3 linked regions of the Saccharomyces cerevisiae S288C genome follow. Changing the gene in region 2 together with the main gene of any one other region gives a genetic interaction. Each region holds a gene or a part of one and is shown on either strand. Other genes may lie near its edges.

Region 1 (4,349 bases), on a different chromosome or scaffold from region 2:
AGAAGATCGAAAAACCTCAGAATTGAATCGCAGGAAAATGCTAAGAAAACAGAAAATAAAAAGACAAGAAAAAGATTCGTCATCACCTATCATCAGCCAACGTGACAACCACGATGCCTATGAACACCATAACCAAGATTCCGATGGCGTCTCATTGGTCAATAGTGACAATTCCCTCTCTAACATTCCATTATTCTCTTCTACTTTTCATCGTAAGTCAGAGTCTTCCTTAGCTTCGACATCCGTTGCACCTTCTTCTTCCTCCGAATTTGAGGTAGAAAACGAAATCTTGGAGGAAAAAAATGGATTAGCAAGTAAAATCGCACAGGCCGTCTTAAACAAGAGAATTGGTGAAAATACTGCCAGGGAAGAGGAAGAGGAAGAAGAAGAGGAAGAAGAAGAAGAGGAAGAAGAAGAAGAAGGGAAAGAAGGAGATGCGTAGATGCCATTTACTGACGGTGAAGATACTAGAAACTAAATCTTTCGCCGTTCTATTTATGTAATAAACCCATTATTGCTCATTGGGAGTTGTAAATATTAATGCTCAATGTTTATGTATATCCCTCGCACAGGGGCTTTTTATTTCTTGAGGGGGGGACTAATTGTATAATTGTATGTTTTATAAAAAAGTATATTGCTCTTTTACGACTTTTGGTCTGGTCCCCTATGCTACTAATAACATTTTATTCTCTTCAAACTTCAACGTTCAACCTGCTTTGCCGAGACGGCGATTAGTATCCTACCCAACTGAACCTTTTCTTTTTGTTTCGCTTTTTGTTATACAATGCAATTTCGTCTCGCTGTAGTCTTTGGGTATGTCCTGTCAAATTCGTCACTACATTTTCAAAAGTTGTCTTATCCTTTAGGAGGTCTCGCTGTTGTTTCTTCAATGATCTTGATTTACTAACCAAAAAGTCAATGGATTGACACAATGTATCGTGGTATTGGCGTAAAGATTCTTCATCCATACTAGTAAAATCTGCCATAAGCAATTGCGGTATATGCTGCTCTTGCTCACGCTCCTCTTCCTTTTGAAGAGATTTTAAAGTCATTGGTGGTGTATAGTCAATTTTGAAATTATCCCTCAGGAAGAGACCAGTAGCCGTTTGCTCATTTTTCTCCACTGCATCGCATATCCTTTTGAACAACTCATCATTCAACGGTTCTTCCTCCCTCTTCGTACCAACACCCTCAGAGCCATTATTATCCGATAATCTCAAAATGTGGAGCAAGTTTCTGCGTATATGAGATTTATTCCATATGAATGGCTGTAACACAGGATCTAATTGTACGAGTTGTTCATAAATGACATGGGGTCGTTCATCTTCAATAAGTTTGCTCAGCTTGAAACAGTCATTCTTTATGGTTTCTTCTTCCAGGTCAAATTCTCCCTTTGGTAGTATCTTATTCAAGCAGTTATCTACTACAGATTCGGAAGACGTCGTTAAAGTAGAATTCTGGTTATAGAGGTCATTTTCAACTGAGGCATCTGAAAAATTCCCAAAATCATCACTAGAATCACTTTCTGCATCTAATGCATTTGTGACAGGTTCTATCTGATCTCTATCGCTCATTTGCTTGCTTTGAAAGAGGTGCCTTTTTCTATCTTGCTACACCTTAAATTCTCGTTTGTGATACGCCTAACGTTTTTTTTTTTTTTCAGTTTTGATAGCAATTCGCGAAACTTTTTGTAACATCTTCTCTTCTCGAAAAGCGAAAATAGTAAACAATAACTTAAAGCGTATTGGTATTAATATATTTAGTTGTAGTAAAATCATTTCACCAAACACACATACATGCGCTATTTGTATTGAGAAAATGAATTTTGATGCGGTAGCAGATCAACAGATGACTGACAGAAGGTATTTTGCTCTCGAAGTAGCAGAAAGCGATGATGCCGACAGCTCATTAAATTCTTCATCCATGGGAAGCCCCGCAGTGGATGTAGGAAGAAAAGTTTACAAAATCACTTCGCACAAGGGTTCAGCAGAAGATGAGAGTCAATCCTTTTTTACTTCTTCAGATTCTCCAACATCCAAAACAAGGCCTGTAGGTAAAACCATCGAAAACGATGATTACTATGGTAAAAGATCTTCTACAGGTTCATCGCTCAAACAACTCTTCAATAAAATTAATATTAATGATACCGCTCACTCTTCAAACAAAGAAAATGTATCTCAGTCGGTGCTATCGGAAAACAAGCTGCTCTCTCCATCTAAAAGGTTGTCGAAGCAAGGTCTTACAAAGGTGACTAACTCCAAGTTTCGTACACCCTTGAGACCTATTTCAAACCAATCGACTTTATCAAGGGATGAGCCTGTTAAAGATTTTAGATCACTTAAGTTTCGGAGCGGTAGTGATTTCAAATGCTGGGGTGACGAGAAGACAAGTTCTCATGTTCATTCATCCAGTGTGAACTCAGTTAATTCCTTTACTTCTACCACCTCTTCTTCAAAGTGGAAGTTCTGGAAAAATGATAACCTATTGTCGAGGTCGCTATCTTCCAGATCTGTGAATGACCAAGATCCGAACTTTGTTCAGCCAAAACCAACCAATTCGTTACAAAAGAAGTCTTCAATTTCAAGTTTTCACAATTCTATTTTTGGTGGTGGCAAACACACAGAGAAGAAGAGGAATTCTGGATTTATTATGCCCGATCATCAGAGCACGAAGGAGCTAAACCACAAACATTCATCATCGAACCTTTCCTTTAGAAGTTTGAAGCATAAAACATCACATTCTTCACTAAATAAGCTCAAAGTAAGGCGTAAAGGAAATACACAAGAACTGAATCATCCGATCAAAAAAACTTGCCAAATATCATTGCCTGTTCCAGACCAAGTCTCAAAGGACAAGATTCAACTGAAATTGAAAAATTCAACATCATTGGCATCCTTATCTTCAGAAGTCACTCCCATAAACACTTTGGACTACAATGATTCAATTTTGCAACAAATATTACAACTTTGTGATGTTAAGTATATATTACATGATCTACGTGAAGCTCAGTCATTAGGCTTGTTTACGTTGAATACTAGATCGGTTCAGCTGTCTCATAACTTTTGGCAAACTTATCATAGCGATATGCAAACTTCACTCATTTGCAAGAAAGTATGTCTAGGGGCTCTAAGTGATTTGACTACTTCAAACTTGATATCCTTACATGAATTGAAATCATTACGGTTAATACAAGGAACTAGCGGTGTCGCCAATTTACTGCAAGCTTATGTTGTGCCCTCAAATCAATGTGAAAATGACCAAAACTTGATACTGTACTTATTTTTCAAATACCAGGGAACTCCTCTATCAAGGTGCTCTAACATTGATTACTCTCAAGCATTGTCTATTTTCTGGCAGTGCAGCAGTATTTTATATGTTGCTGAATCCAAATTTCAGCTCGAACACAGGAATCTAACTTTGGACCATATTTTGATAGACTCTAAAGGGAATGTTACTTTAATTGATATGAAGTGCTGTCGTTTCTTGAATATAGACAACAATAAGGCTTCCTATACAAGATTAGACCATCATTATTTCTTCCAAGGCCGGGGGACTCTTCAATTCGAGATATATGAACTGATGAGAAGCATGCTGCCTCAGCCAATATCCTGGGCTACATTTGAACCAAGAACAAACCTATTATGGTTATATCACCTAAGTAGCAGCCTGCTAAAAATGGCCAAAAAAGCCGTAGTCAGCGGCGCTTTGAACCGGGAAGAAAATATCTTAATCGAGTTGACGCACTTACTCGATCCTGCTCGAAAACATTCCAAAACAATTTTCAAAAAGGAACTTGTTATAAGAACTTGCGGTGATTTGTTATCTTTGAAGGGAGAAATAATGCAGTAAAGACATCGTAGTAATAAGGTGCAAGCTTTTGTATCCTTCTTAATGATTTGTAAGCAAAAAAAAATTACGTACATCAATTTGTAATGGAAAGGAAATAAATAGTATAATATGAACACTCTTTCTGAGAACAGTTATCTTTAGCTTGCCCCACAAACTGAAAGCACATTTTTAAAATGTTTTACAGATGAAAATGAACCCTTGTACTGTTATCCTCTGTAAGTCGTTATTTTTCTTTTGCCTTTTTCAGGTTGACTGCTACTGTAATCGTAAGAATATTCAAAATCAATCATCTCGCATCGCAACAAAAATAAAACGAAGTTACTGGTTTAGGTGGCAGAAACATATAATATTGGCGAACATTCATAAAATAATTAAGGCTTACCAACGAAGCATAATAAAATTGCCAGTAACCAAAGGTCTCTGATAACATGAAAGTGGTAAAGTTTCCATGGTTGGCTCACCGTGAAGAATCGCGAAAATATGAAATATACACAGTCGAT
Region 2 (9,312 bases):
CTGTAAGTCTTCACCTATAGAAACTGGTCGTAAAACAATGAGTCAGTTTGGCACGACAGATATCGTTTCCGGTTCAGAAACACCACCTTATTCTGGGGCAAGTTACCAGGACGCCCAGGATGACAATACCCATCCACATTCATCAGACGCCGGTGCAGAGAAGTTCAGTGCAGGCAGTGGAAGCGAGTCGCATACTGAATCCTCGAGAAGTGATGATGAGGATTCTCAAGCAAAAACAAAGATGGTGGATAATATTACCATCTTAAAATATATATTGGATTCTCTATCTGGTAGAGACAAATTAGCCAAAATTATCAAATACGCTCTGGATATATTAAAACTGTTTATCGAAAAGTCTAAGCGAAATTTAACTGTTTTGGACCCTTCCGTATTAACGTACTATACCAAGATTTTGAAAAATCTGACTGTAAAAGTCGCACTAAGGCATCCAATCACGGTAATTAAAGTACTTCTCCTGTCTCTTTTGAGAAATTTTGACAAGAAAATTGATTTTATCAGTCAACAATTAAGTACTTTTAGATATATTTTAAGGTTTGGCGGCACACCATTCCGAGTGTGCAGTTTCTTGGGGAAATTCAATAAAACCAGAAAGTGCAACTTTCAAATTGACCAAATTAAGAAAATATGGTTTAATGAAGCTTCATTGAGAGAATTTTTGGACTTGTATTATGGTATCTTTGATGAATTAGACTTGCTATACAAATTGAAAATATGGACAAATAAATCATTCTATTCCTTTGTCAGTAGACAAGAGTCTCTTGCATGGCAATACGACATTCTTTTAAGCTTGAAGGACCATTGGCTCAACCTGCAAAGCTTACAGAAGAGACAATTAGAATTGGAAGTGCAACTAAAAGTTCAAAATAACGCGTTACTACTCTCACCCATACTGATGCATCAGGCCCATAAAGACGATGGCTCACAATCGCCAATTAGGAAACAGTTGTTAAATGACCTAAATGTTAATAACGACGCAGAGGTGTTAATACACAAACAACTAAAGGCCATCAAGGATGAAAAGACACTTGTTTATTTAGATATTGCAAGATTATCGTTTGATTGCATGGCTAATACATCAGATATTCTAAATTTAAAAACTCCAAAGGGAACGTATGCCGTTCTGTCCCTGGGATCCGGCTTAACTGGACTGGTTAAACTTTGGATAACAACAAAGAGGTCACTTTGCTCTTCAAAAGATTGATATATAAAAATATGTATACATATAGATATGTACATATATATGTGGCGAATAATGTTTTACCTCTGCATTTGTATTGTTATTTGATTCGTTGAATAAGATAGTTTGGCGCTCGGTTTTTGCTCTTTTTCTTCCGTTTTTATGTCATTGGGGTGGCGGTAGTCATTCCGTTTTACGGTATGTTTATTCTGACACTTTGACGCAGATCTAAAAGGTGGAGTGTGGAGTACAAATAGCTCTCTCTCAAATACAGAAAAATACTTGAGTGTACAAAAGTAGCAACCTTTAAATAACAATGATTACTTCAATTGACATAGCAGATGTAACTTATTCTGCCAAACCAAGAATTTTGGTGCCTTATAAAACCCAATGGGAAGTCGCCAGTCATCTTCCTGAATATCGCAAACTGGCAGAAAGGGTAGAATTCTATAAATATGAGATGTCCACAAAGGATGATTTTGTTAAATTTTTGGAAACTCATAGAATAAACGGCTTTTGGCTCACTGAGGAGTTTTTCACTGTGTTAGGAAACCCTTCGAGTTATATTGAATTCTTCCCCGCATCTTTAAAAGTAATCCTTGTACCATGGGTCGGCTGTGACTTTATTGACGGTAAGTTATTAAGATCGAAAGGTATCACTTTATGCAACATTGGACCACATGCTGCTGACCATGTCACAGAATTGGCTATTTTCCTAGCAATTAGCTGCTTTAGAATGACTTCATTTTGGGAATATTGTTTTAAATACGTGGAAAATGGTAATGTTGAACAGTGTAAGAAATATATCTCTAGTGACTCGTATGAAATTGTTACAGATAGTTACCACGGTCAGGAAATGAAATTTCCCTCTCGAACAGACAAATGCAAGCCTAACAAGGATAGGAAAGTGGTACATTTAGCAGAAAAGTACACGGTTGGCGGGAAAAAAATGGAATCTCCAATGAATAAAAAAGTTCTAATATTGGGGTTTGGCTCCATCGGACAAAATATAGGGTCTAACTTGCACAAAGTGTTCAACATGAGCATTGAATACTACAAAAGGACCGGTCCCGTCCAAAAGAGTCTACTTGATTACAACGCTAAGTACCATTCTGATCTAGATGATCCAAATACTTGGAAGAATGCGGATTTGATCATTTTGGCCTTGCCCAGTACGGCCTCTACAAACAATATTATCAATCGTAAAAGTTTGGCCTGGTGTAAAGATGGTGTCAGGATAGTTAACGTTGGGAGAGGCACATGCATAGATGAAGATGTGCTACTAGACGCTCTTGAATCTGGAAAAGTGGCAAGCTGTGGTCTCGATGTGTTTAAAAATGAGGAAACACGCGTTAAGCAAGAGTTACTTCGCAGATGGGATGTTACAGCTTTGCCACATATCGGCAGCACAGTTGCCGACATGGTCATAAAGCAGACACTCATCACACTCGAGAATGTGCAGGACATATTTGTCGAGGGAGGTGATGGTAAGTATGTGCTCAACTGAACCATTCATTATGTTACAAAGATAGCATTTCAATTAGGATTACATACGTATATGCATTGCTCTTTATACCACAACTCTAAGAATGTCGAAAGTTATATGGCGGCGGTGATGTTGGAAAAAAAACGCGGCCGTTTTATAAAGAACAATAATCGTCTGACTAGGTAAAGTACCAGATAAGAACCGTTTTTATTGCGCGTATTGGTATGTTTTTTAAACGGAATTTTTCAAGATTGTTAAATACATCAACGATATATCCATTTTAATCACCGTTTACCTTTGTGTGTTAGCTTTGTATCTGGAAGTTTTTTCTCTTTTCTTCTTTGTCCTTGCCTTCTACCATTTTGCCTTTTGTTCGAGTTCGTGATTACATCAGGCATATACAACATCACGTTTGTTGAAACACTGGCTGCTAGGAGTATCTGTGTGTATATTCTAGAATAAACTCACACTCAACTAACAGCACGCAATGACAGATAATTTGACCACAACTCATGGTGGTAGTACCACCCTTGAATTGTTGGCGCAGTACAATGATCATAGATCCAAAAAGGACAAATCTATAGAACATATAGAAAAAGGAACATGTTCAGGAAAAGAAAGAAATCCGTCCTATGATGAAATTTTTACGGAAAACATTAAGCTAAAGCTACAAGTCCAAGAATATGAAACTGAAATTGAGAGTTTGGAAAAGGTTATTGATATGTTACAAAAAAACAGAGAAGCTTCCTTAGAAGTTGTGCTTGAGCAAGTTCAAAATGACTCAAGAGATTCATACGTTAACGATCAATCATTTGTGTTACCCCCAAGATCTGCTGAAAGGAAAGCGCATATCAAGAGTCTTAATTTGCCAATACCGACATTGTCCCCTCCATTGCAACAAGGTTCAGACGTTGCACTTGAAACAAGTGTAACGCCTACAGTACCTCAAATAGGTGTTACATCAAATACTTCAATAAGTAGGAAGCATTTACAGAACATGATACTAAACGATGAAATAGAAGCAAATAGTAGCTTCTCATCTCCCAAAATTATCAATAGATCTGTCTCAAGCCCTACAAAAATACATTCAGAACAGTTGGCTAGCCCAGCTGCCTCTGTTACCTATACGACGTCTAGGATAACCATAAAATCACCTAATAAAGGTTCGAAATCTCCATTGCAAGAACGTTTGCGTTCCCCTCAAAATCCTAACAGAATGACGGCTGTTATCAACAACCATTTGCATTCTCCATTAAAGGCCAGTACCTCTAATAATTTAGATGAGCTGACTGAAAGTAAAAGTCAACAACTAACTAATGACGCGATACAAAAAAATGACCGCGTTTATTCTTCTATAACATCCTCTGCATACACTACTGGAACTCCTACTTCAGCAGCCAAAAGTCCATCATCCCTTTTGGAAGTCAAGGAGGGTGAAAACAAGGCTTTGGGTTTCTCTCCAGCATCTAAAGAAAAACTTGACGACTTCACCCAATTACTTGACTCCTCATTTGGCGAAGAGGATCTAGTCAATACGGACAGTAAAGATCCTCTGTCCATAAAATCCACGATTAACGAATCTTTACCCCCACCTCCAGCGCCTCCAACTTTTTTCTCACCTACTTCTAGTGGAAATATAAAAAACTCTACTCCTTTATCAAGCCATTTGGCTTCTCCGGTTATCTTGAATAAAAAGGATGATAATTTTGGTGCTCAAAGTGCAAAAAATTTAAAGAAACCTGTGTTAACTTCATCACTCCCCAATCTTTCTACAAAATTGTCAACAACAAGTCAAAATGCTTCTCTTCCTCCAAATCCTCCCGTGGAAAGTTCATCAAAACAAAAACAACTTGGAGAAACGGCATCCATCCATTCAACCAATACCTTGAATACATTTAGCTCAACACCCCAAGGTTCGTTGAAGACACTTAGAAGACCTCATGCAAGTAGCGTGAGCACCGTGAAGTCTGTGGCCCAAAGTCTTAAGTCGGATATTCCATTATTCGTTCAACCGGAGGATTTTGGCACTATCCAGATTGAAGTACTGAGCACATTGTACAGGGATAATGAAGATGATTTATCCATTTTAATTGCAATCATAGACAGGAAATCCGGTAAGGAGATGTTTAAATTTTCAAAATCTATTCATAAAGTTCGCGAATTAGATGTATATATGAAATCACATGTTCCCGATTTACCATTGCCCACGTTACCTGATAGACAATTATTTCAGACTTTATCACCTACAAAAGTGGATACGCGAAAGAACATATTGAATCAGTATTATACAAGCATATTCAGTGTCCCTGAATTTCCCAAAAATGTTGGTTTAAAAATCGCCCAATTTATTAGTACAGATACAGTAATGACACCTCCAATGATGGATGATAATGTGAAAGACGGATCACTTTTGCTGAGAAGACCAAAGACTCTAACAGGTAATAGTACATGGAGAGTTCGGTACGGTATTTTGCGCGATGATGTTTTACAATTGTTTGACAAAAATCAGTTGACTGAAACTATTAAATTGAGACAATCTTCTATAGAACTTATACCCAATCTCCCTGAAGATAGATTTGGAACGAGAAATGGGTTTTTGATCACTGAGCATAAGAAAAGCGGACTGTCAACCTCAACAAAGTATTATATTTGTACTGAAACGTCGAAGGAACGTGAATTATGGCTTTCTGCGTTTAGTGATTACATTGATCCTTCACAAAGTTTATCGTTATCTAGCTCGAGGAATGCAAACGATACTGATTCTGCATCTCACTTGAGCGCAGGAACACACCATTCTAAATTTGGAAACGCAACTATCTCAGCAACCGATACTCCATCATATGTCACTGATTTGACCCAAGAATATAATAATAATAACAATATTAGTAATAGTAGCAATAACATTGCTAATAGCGATGGTATTGACTCAAACCCATCTTCTCACTCTAACTTCCTAGCAAGTTCAAGCGGGAATGCAGAGGAGGAGAAGGATAGTAGGAGAGCCAAAATGAGAAGTTTATTCCCTTTTAAAAAATTAACCGGCCCGGCGAGTGCAATGAACCATATAGGTATTACAATTTCAAATGATTCGGATTCTCCAACATCTCCTGACTCTATCATTAAGTCACCAAGCAAAAAATTAATGGAAGTATCCTCTTCGTCAAATTCTTCTACGGGTCCACATGTGTCCACTGCAATATTTGGCTCGTCACTAGAAACGTGTTTAAGATTGAGTTCGCATAAGTACCAAAACGTTTACGATTTACCGAGTGTAGTTTATCGTTGCTTAGAGTATCTTTACAAAAACCGTGGTATCCAGGAAGAAGGCATATTTAGACTAAGCGGGTCCAGTACAGTTATCAAAACTTTACAAGAAAGGTTTGATAAAGAGTACGATGTAGATTTATGTCGGTACAATGAAAGTATTGAAGCTAAAGATGATGAGGCATCTCCAAGTCTTTACATTGGTGTGAATACTGTAAGTGGGTTACTAAAGTTGTACTTGAGAAAGTTGCCCCATTTATTATTTGGTGACGAACAATTTTTGTCGTTTAAAAGAGTAGTTGATGAAAATCATAATAATCCTGTTCAAATATCATTGGGGTTTAAGGAACTTATTGAATCTGGCCTAGTTCCTCACGCTAACCTATCGTTGATGTATGCTCTTTTTGAACTGCTGGTAAGGATCAATGAGAATAGTAAGTTTAATAAGATGAATCTAAGAAATTTATGCATCGTGTTTTCCCCAACTCTAAATATTCCAATTAGTATGCTTCAACCATTCATCACTGACTTTGCGTGTATATTTCAGGGTGGTGAACCAGTTAAAGAAGAGGAAAGGGAGAAAGTAGATATACATATTCCTCAGGTTTGATGGTCTAAAATTGTAGAAATATAACGTTGCCAGTAAACCTCCATTGATTTAATGATAGAAAGAGGGCGAGATGTATAGAGGCTTCTTTCTTTCAACGATATATTTGTAATAATAAAAAAATGTCAGGCTGATAAAGCTTATAGAGTGACTGTCTTTTTATTCCTCAAATGTTATTTACAATACCATATAATAAAATTAGTATATTGTCAAATAAAATAAGAGAAAAAAACTAACTTCTTGACCAAATGGTCGAAGAGCTGAGATAAAGAAGGAAAAAAATTAAAATTACTAACTATACAAGGAAATATAAAAATAGAAAAATTGTGTTACTAAATACAAAAAAGTAATATATGCGTCACTTCTTTAGTGGGTTCAAGACAACATTATATATGCATTGGTATCACCATCTTCCACCACTTCTTGTTGTATGTTTTCTTGAAACATGAGAAATCATTGATATATCACTATCGTCATAAGTTGGTGTATTTGCGTTTTGAGGCTGTCTTATGCGATGCGGTTTCGTATTGGAGGGAATTTTATACATTCCATTACCTTGTAGACGGCGTTGGTGCGAGTTTTTCCAATTTTTTTCTTTTAGCTCATGGTCTGAATCTTCATCACCTTTTTTTTCAATTTCTAAGGTCTCCAAATGTCTAGAAATATCATCAATGGTAATATCCTCCACCGTGCGATTGAAAGTTTTGTTCAATTCTTCATCGTAAACGTATTCTTCATCTTCATCCTCACTGGAAAATTCTTGTTGCAAAAACGGAATTTGGGTTTCAGCTGCTCTATTATTTGACGAGAGCTGCTTGACCTTGGTATCGCTTCTAATTTCCCTTTGTTCCTGTTTTTCCGTGCTTCTCGGCTTGTTTTCATGAAGTTCTTTTTCTGGGGAAGCGTTGCTTCTATGAGATCTGATTATTCTTTGAGCAATTGTCGACGTGGATGCTGGTTCGACAGTAGCCTTTAGTAGAGAATTAGAAGGTGCGCTGTTAACTGCGTCTTTAAAAATGATATCATCGAATTCCGGTATCATTGCTCGTCCCAGCCTGATAACTTCTTCTGCCCATATTCTTATGACATCTTTTGCTCTTTTTGTCTTATAGGGTTTCCAAGCCGGTTTGCAACCACGAACAATCTCTTTAACGACTTGTTCAGACCCCCATTCTTTAACCCAATCTTGGTTTTGTAAACCGATCAAATGTGCGAAAACACCAGAACATATAGCTTTATCAGAATATCCACCCTCCATTAGAGACAAAACTTTGCCATGACAGTGCATTTGTGCTAATTTCAATGCATCTTTGGTGAACGTTGTATAAAAACTTGTAGGAACGTTGACACTATGCCTTTGCATTGAAGTTTGCTCAAATTCTGATGCATCGAAACCTGCGCTTATGACAACCAAACCTTTGAATGGTCTCCCTTGTTGATTCATTTCTAGTTTTGCGCTCCTGAAAAATTCATCTGCTTTAGCAAATAAAGTTCTATATTTTGTCCTGTATAATACATTGAATTCTTCTTCGGTTGTCCATTTGGATAAGTGAATATTCCAGATGTTTAGGTCATGAGAGTTCATGATACAGGTAGATGCATTTTTAATGTTCTCCTTTGTGGCAAATCCCGACTCTGTTGGAAATGAATTTATATCATGCATAGAAAAATAACCGACTTTGGGAAATTCGGCAAATTTCTTACCAAAATCATCATAAGATGAATCTTCAGGTTCCTCCTCAGGTTTGAAACCCGCACGTTTCCAGCAAATGTCTTGGGTCCCATCACCGTGGTGTAGATCGAAATCAAGCACGACAACATGCGTGACGTTGTAAGTATCATACGCATATTCTATGGCTACATGTGCATTGTTTAACAGACAAAAGCCGGATGGTGTACCATAGTGGCAATGATGACCAGGAGGCCGTATAGCAACAAAAGCTCTGTTACTAATATGTTCTGCAGATGGTCCTTTGAAAATTGAGTCAACACCAGTTTCAATGGCCCCAATTGTTCCCTGTAGAGCTTTAATTGTCTTTGAGCTCAAGTATATATCACCTGAGTTCCAAGTATCTGGGACTTCGATTTCGCCTTTTAGCAATTTAGCATCTGCCATTTGGCAAAGTTCAATTAACTCAGCCGGCCAGCTACTGCCATGAACTTTAAGCACATGAGGTGCCATCAATGAACCTTTCCTTTGATGCGAGGATTTCAAGGTGAAAAGGGATGGATACATTGTAATCGCAGCTGATATACCCATCGAGCTTGCTAATAATCTTTCTGGTCGTTCGACTATAGTTTTCCTATACGATTTTGTTACCCATTCTCTCGGGAACACATGCTGTAAAGAATATGGGGATAGTACTACAACAGCTTTTGCAGATTCCGGTATTTGTGCGGCAGCTCGAGCTGCCGATATGACATTAGGGTTATTTTGAACAAATGCTTGAAATTGCTTATAAAATCTCTCCAATGGATCTGAATGCTTGGAAGACATATTATATCGTCGAATTTCTCTGTTTACTTCCAGAGCCCTTTTTTTCGTTATATTTTCAGTGACTTAAGAAGTATTGGAGAAACTGAACTGATCAACTCCACACGAAAAGAAAGTTTGTAATTTGGAAAAGGACTAGTTTTTCAAAAGAGAAGATCTGATAATAGATCAAGCGATAAAAAAATTAACAAGATCTTATTGTTCAATTCAGAAAAAAACGTAAACAAAAAATAGTTCTTCATGTTTAAAGGAAAGAGTAAAAT
Region 3 (3,743 bases), on a different chromosome or scaffold from region 2:
AAGAGGGACGACCAACTAAACGTCAATCTAAGGAATGATCTGAATATTATGAGTTGGACGGGTTCTGGGTTGTGGACTGACACTATTTTCACGTATTTCAATGACTTTATGAGAAGTGGTGTCAGGGAGAAGGTTACATGGAAATTATTCCATAACCTAAATCAACCAAAATTGCTAAGTGATGTTCTGGTCTTTCCAAAATTCTCCTTTAACTGTCCAAACCAAATCGATAATGACGATCCACACAAGAAATTCTATTTCATTACTCATTTGGCATCACAATTTTGGAAAAATACTCCAAAGGTGGAGCAGAAATAAGTACTTCTACGCAGATATAATAAGGAACTTTTTTGTTAATTTTTTTTTGCTGATCGATATTAATACTTTTTAAGAATGAAGAAAAAAAAAAAATAATATACCAGATGTATTTACTTATATACAACACTCACTCTTTATATATATAGAGAAAGAAGAAATAAGTGAGGAAGCCAAAAGCGGACTCATTCTTCCTGTTTGATTTTCGCCTCTTTTTCCAACCTGGCTTCAATTTCTCTTAATTCCTTTTCTCTTTGCAACAGTTCTTGTCTTTTCAACAGCAGTTCTTGCTGAACTCTCTCCTCAAATGCCTTTAGTCGCTCTTCTTCTAACCGTATTTGCTCCTCACGTGTCATGTAGGTTTCGTTATTTTCGCCAGTGCTTTGCCCGTGCATATCGGATGCTGGGTTGAGAACATCGTTATTAATATTATTACTTTGCTTGAAGGGATTTGTGTTTCTCCTTGTTGTGGTGGACGATGACGACGAACCATTCAATTTTGTCAGATTTGGACGTATGGATTCTGCCGCGACAGATTCACCTGATAATGCCTCGGTTCTATATCTTTCATATAATATCTCATGTGTGTAGTTTTTCAAGTCATGTAAATGAGAGATCAATAACGCATTCCTTAAGATAACAAAATCAGAGATCGATGAATCTTCCACGTCCAGTATGCCCCATGGATACTTTCTGCCACGAATTGTCCCAACATCGCCGCCCATTTCGTAAACTTCATTGGATCCAATAATAGCAAAAGGTAGAAGTGTACGTAGGTACATATTGGTTTCGTAATCTTCGTCTGATATTTCATCTTCATCGAAAGGGAAATTATAAATTGGCAAGTTCCATCTGTCGATATCCTCCATGATCAATTTTTTATTCAGTTTCAGTTCATCTCTTGTCAAGGAATCTGATTTGCTGATCACAGGGATGATGTTAACTAAGGATCCCAACTGTCTGATGAATTCCACATCAATCTCTTTTAAACCGTGGCCAGTTGGGTTGATTAAGTAAAGACAACAATGAACTCTGCCGTCCTTAAATCTTGGGTTTCTTCTCACACGACTTTCTTCCAATAAGATTTCATCATATTGGTGGCGAATGTAGTCGGAAATGATTTCGAAAGATGGAGAATTGTCGAGAGAATCACCGAATCCCGGAGTATCGATGATATTAAGTTGAATCTTGACACCTTCATCATCTTCTAATTCGACCGTCTCCTCTCTCAATTGTAAGTCTATTTCTGTGGACGTATCTGTGGGTAACAAGATTGTCGTCGAAGTGTCTACAACTTGCTGACCGCACAAAGTATTTATAAAAGTCGATCTACCAGATCCGGACTGGCCCACGATCATCACAGTGAAGGTTATACCTCTTTTCAAATGCTTTCTTTTTCTTAATGCAGAAGATGCGTCAATTATTCCGGACATGGCTGGTGGTTAGCAACTTTAGGCCTTGTGATGATTGACTTTCTAAACGGCTCCAGATCGGGTCGCCAATACGTGGTGTCTACCTATTTTACTTTTCGATCAAATACTTTTTTGTTTATTTTTCTTTATGTTAGAAGGCGGAAAAATAAAGAATACTGGCGATCCTGCATGGTCGGGTAACGACCCACGAGCATTGTGTTGTGTAAATATAGCCATATTTAAGCTATATTTATCTGTATAACATATACGTGTCCGTATGTGCCCGACCAAATATGTTACTGCGATGAAATGGATTGAGAACGATGTTTAAATGTTATGTTCCATGTTGTGTTTTCCACCAAAAAACCGTGAAGGACAATTCAATGAGCAAAGGGTTTAACGGAGCTATAACCTGCTTTTGTAGATGAAAAAATAGAAAATTCAAATATATATATATATATATATTTATAATAGCATGTTAATTTACAGATATTTGGACTTTTGCAAAGTCAGTAAATACATGGAATAAGAATACTAGTGATTGAATAGAGTACATTTAAACAGATTTATTTATTTCTTTCCTTTGTTGACTCTTTCTTAGAATATGAAAAAAAAAAGGGGCTCCGGTGGTGATGAGGAGAGAATATATATGCATGTATCAATCAAGACCATTTCTAATGACCACCACCACCAATTTCAATGGTTGGTGGGCAACCCAAAGTGCTCTTTAAAGAACCATAAATACCAAATTGCAAGGAGGTCAAGGTACCAACCATGACCAAACGAGTAGGCAACCCAGCAAAGGAACCGAAAAATCCTAACTGTTTGGCCAACTGAGCCAACAAACCGACTGTGGATTGGCCAGGAGCCTTCTTAGTCTTGTTGACCTTGGACAACAGAGTGTCTGCTGGCTGGGAAACAATGGCAGCGGCCAAACCAGCAGTCAAACCGGAAAGCAAATTCAACAAAGTAGTGGAAGTAGAGGACAATTTTTCTTTTGGACCGGCGAACCCGTAGTAGAACTCGGAGGCACGTTCAAAGACCAAGAATTTAGCAATGTTGTAAGGAATTTGCTTGAACAAAATTGGAGTGAACCCACTGTAGAAAGAGCCGATACCTTCTTCTTTCAAAATTCTGGAAAACCCTCCGACGAGTCCATTAGCGAACTGTGGTTGGGAGACCAATCTGATTCTAGTGGCTTCTAGGGGACACAAGGCAATGTCTGCCAAGAATTCGGCCATGGCAGCAGAACCCATGTAAACAGAGTTCTTGTAGCGAGAGGCGGTATCGTAACCCAAGTTGTCAATGAAGAACTTCTTGAACACTTCGTAACCACCGAACTTGAAGGCACCTTGGATAGAGTAACCCAACAAAGTAGGACCAAACCCGGTCAACAACGCACCAGCACCTTCTCCGGCGATGATTTGCTTGAAAGAGCCGACCATACCCTTGTTGTACACGGTAGGTTCCAGTTGGATTCTCGTCTTAACGACATCGATCGGGACCATACTGGAGTGAGTCGACCCGCACCCTATGGCGCCGGCTAGGGCGAATTTCATGTAGTCAGAGACAGAGTACTGTGGAATAGCAGGAGCAGCAGACACAGACATGGTGAGATGAGACTTTTTGATCTTTGTAGTTCTTCTTCTTGCAGATCACTCTGTTCTTTGCGATGGTTCTTGTAGATAAAAAGATCGGGAGGATGGATCGCACTTAAAAATCTTCTCGAAACGGGCCGCGGCCGGGCATGGGACCCGTTCTCGACGCTGATTGGCTAACGATGGTTGGGCAGAGTCTCAGCTGCTGCTTGCTCACATTCGACAAAAGACTAGAGGAAAGCAGTACCATGCTGCGATACTGTTGCATCGCAGCATTCCGCTGTCCAAAAACAATACCTGTTGTATTGTTTGAGGCTGGCAGGCGCTTGGGTAGAAACAACACCCGATACTGGTGACAGGGCTATCTATAAATATTAAAACTTGACTCCGCAATTCGTCGTAAACTGCCTTAACCATC

The links. Genes that interact genetically often act in the same process or in processes that back each other up.
Region 1: mutations in BEM3 (region 2) and ALK2 together harm fitness more than expected from each alone (negative genetic interaction), as found in Saccharomyces cerevisiae (2 studies listed by BioGRID).
Region 3: mutations in BEM3 (region 2) and CDC11 together harm fitness more than expected from each alone (negative genetic interaction), as found in Saccharomyces cerevisiae (3 studies listed by BioGRID).

What each region holds. Positions count from the first base shown.
Region 1 is NC_001134.8:205,376-209,724, forward strand, and holds ALK2 (protein kinase ALK2), read left to right. Parts: upstream 1-1,818; coding exon 1,819-3,849; downstream 3,850-4,349. Other genes in the region: bifunctional glycerol-3-phosphate/glycerone-phosphate O-acyltransferase SCT1, read left to right, coding at 1-442; LAA2 (Laa2p), read right to left, coding at 732-1,574; YBL008W-A (uncharacterized protein), read left to right, coding at 4,034-4,273; HIR1 (Hir1p), read left to right, coding at 4,278-4,349. UniProt on the Saccharomyces cerevisiae protein: Serine/threonine haspin-like protein kinase involved in cell cycle regulation.
Region 2 is NC_001148.4:329,346-338,657, reverse strand, and holds BEM3 (GTPase-activating protein BEM3), read left to right. Parts: upstream 1-3,171; coding exon 3,172-6,558; downstream 6,559-9,312. Other genes in the region: PEX25 (Pex25p), read left to right, coding at 38-1,222; YPL113C (glyoxylate reductase), read left to right, coding at 1,515-2,705; HOS3 (histone deacetylase), read right to left, coding at 6,959-9,052. UniProt on the Saccharomyces cerevisiae protein: GTPase-activating protein (GAP) for CDC42 and less efficiently for RHO1. Negative regulator of the pheromone-response pathway through the STE20 protein kinase.
Region 3 is NC_001142.9:574,854-578,596, forward strand, and holds CDC11 (septin CDC11), read right to left. Parts: upstream 1,749-3,743; coding exon 501-1,748; downstream 1-500. Other genes in the region: HOC1 (alpha-1,6-mannosyltransferase), read left to right, coding at 1-318; MIR1 (Mir1p), read right to left, coding at 2,402-3,337. UniProt on the Saccharomyces cerevisiae protein: Septins are GTPases involved in cytokinesis that assemble early in the cell cycle as a patch at the incipient bud site and form a ring approximate 15 minutes before bud emergence, which transforms into an hour-glass shaped collar of cortical filaments that spans both sides of the mother-bud neck.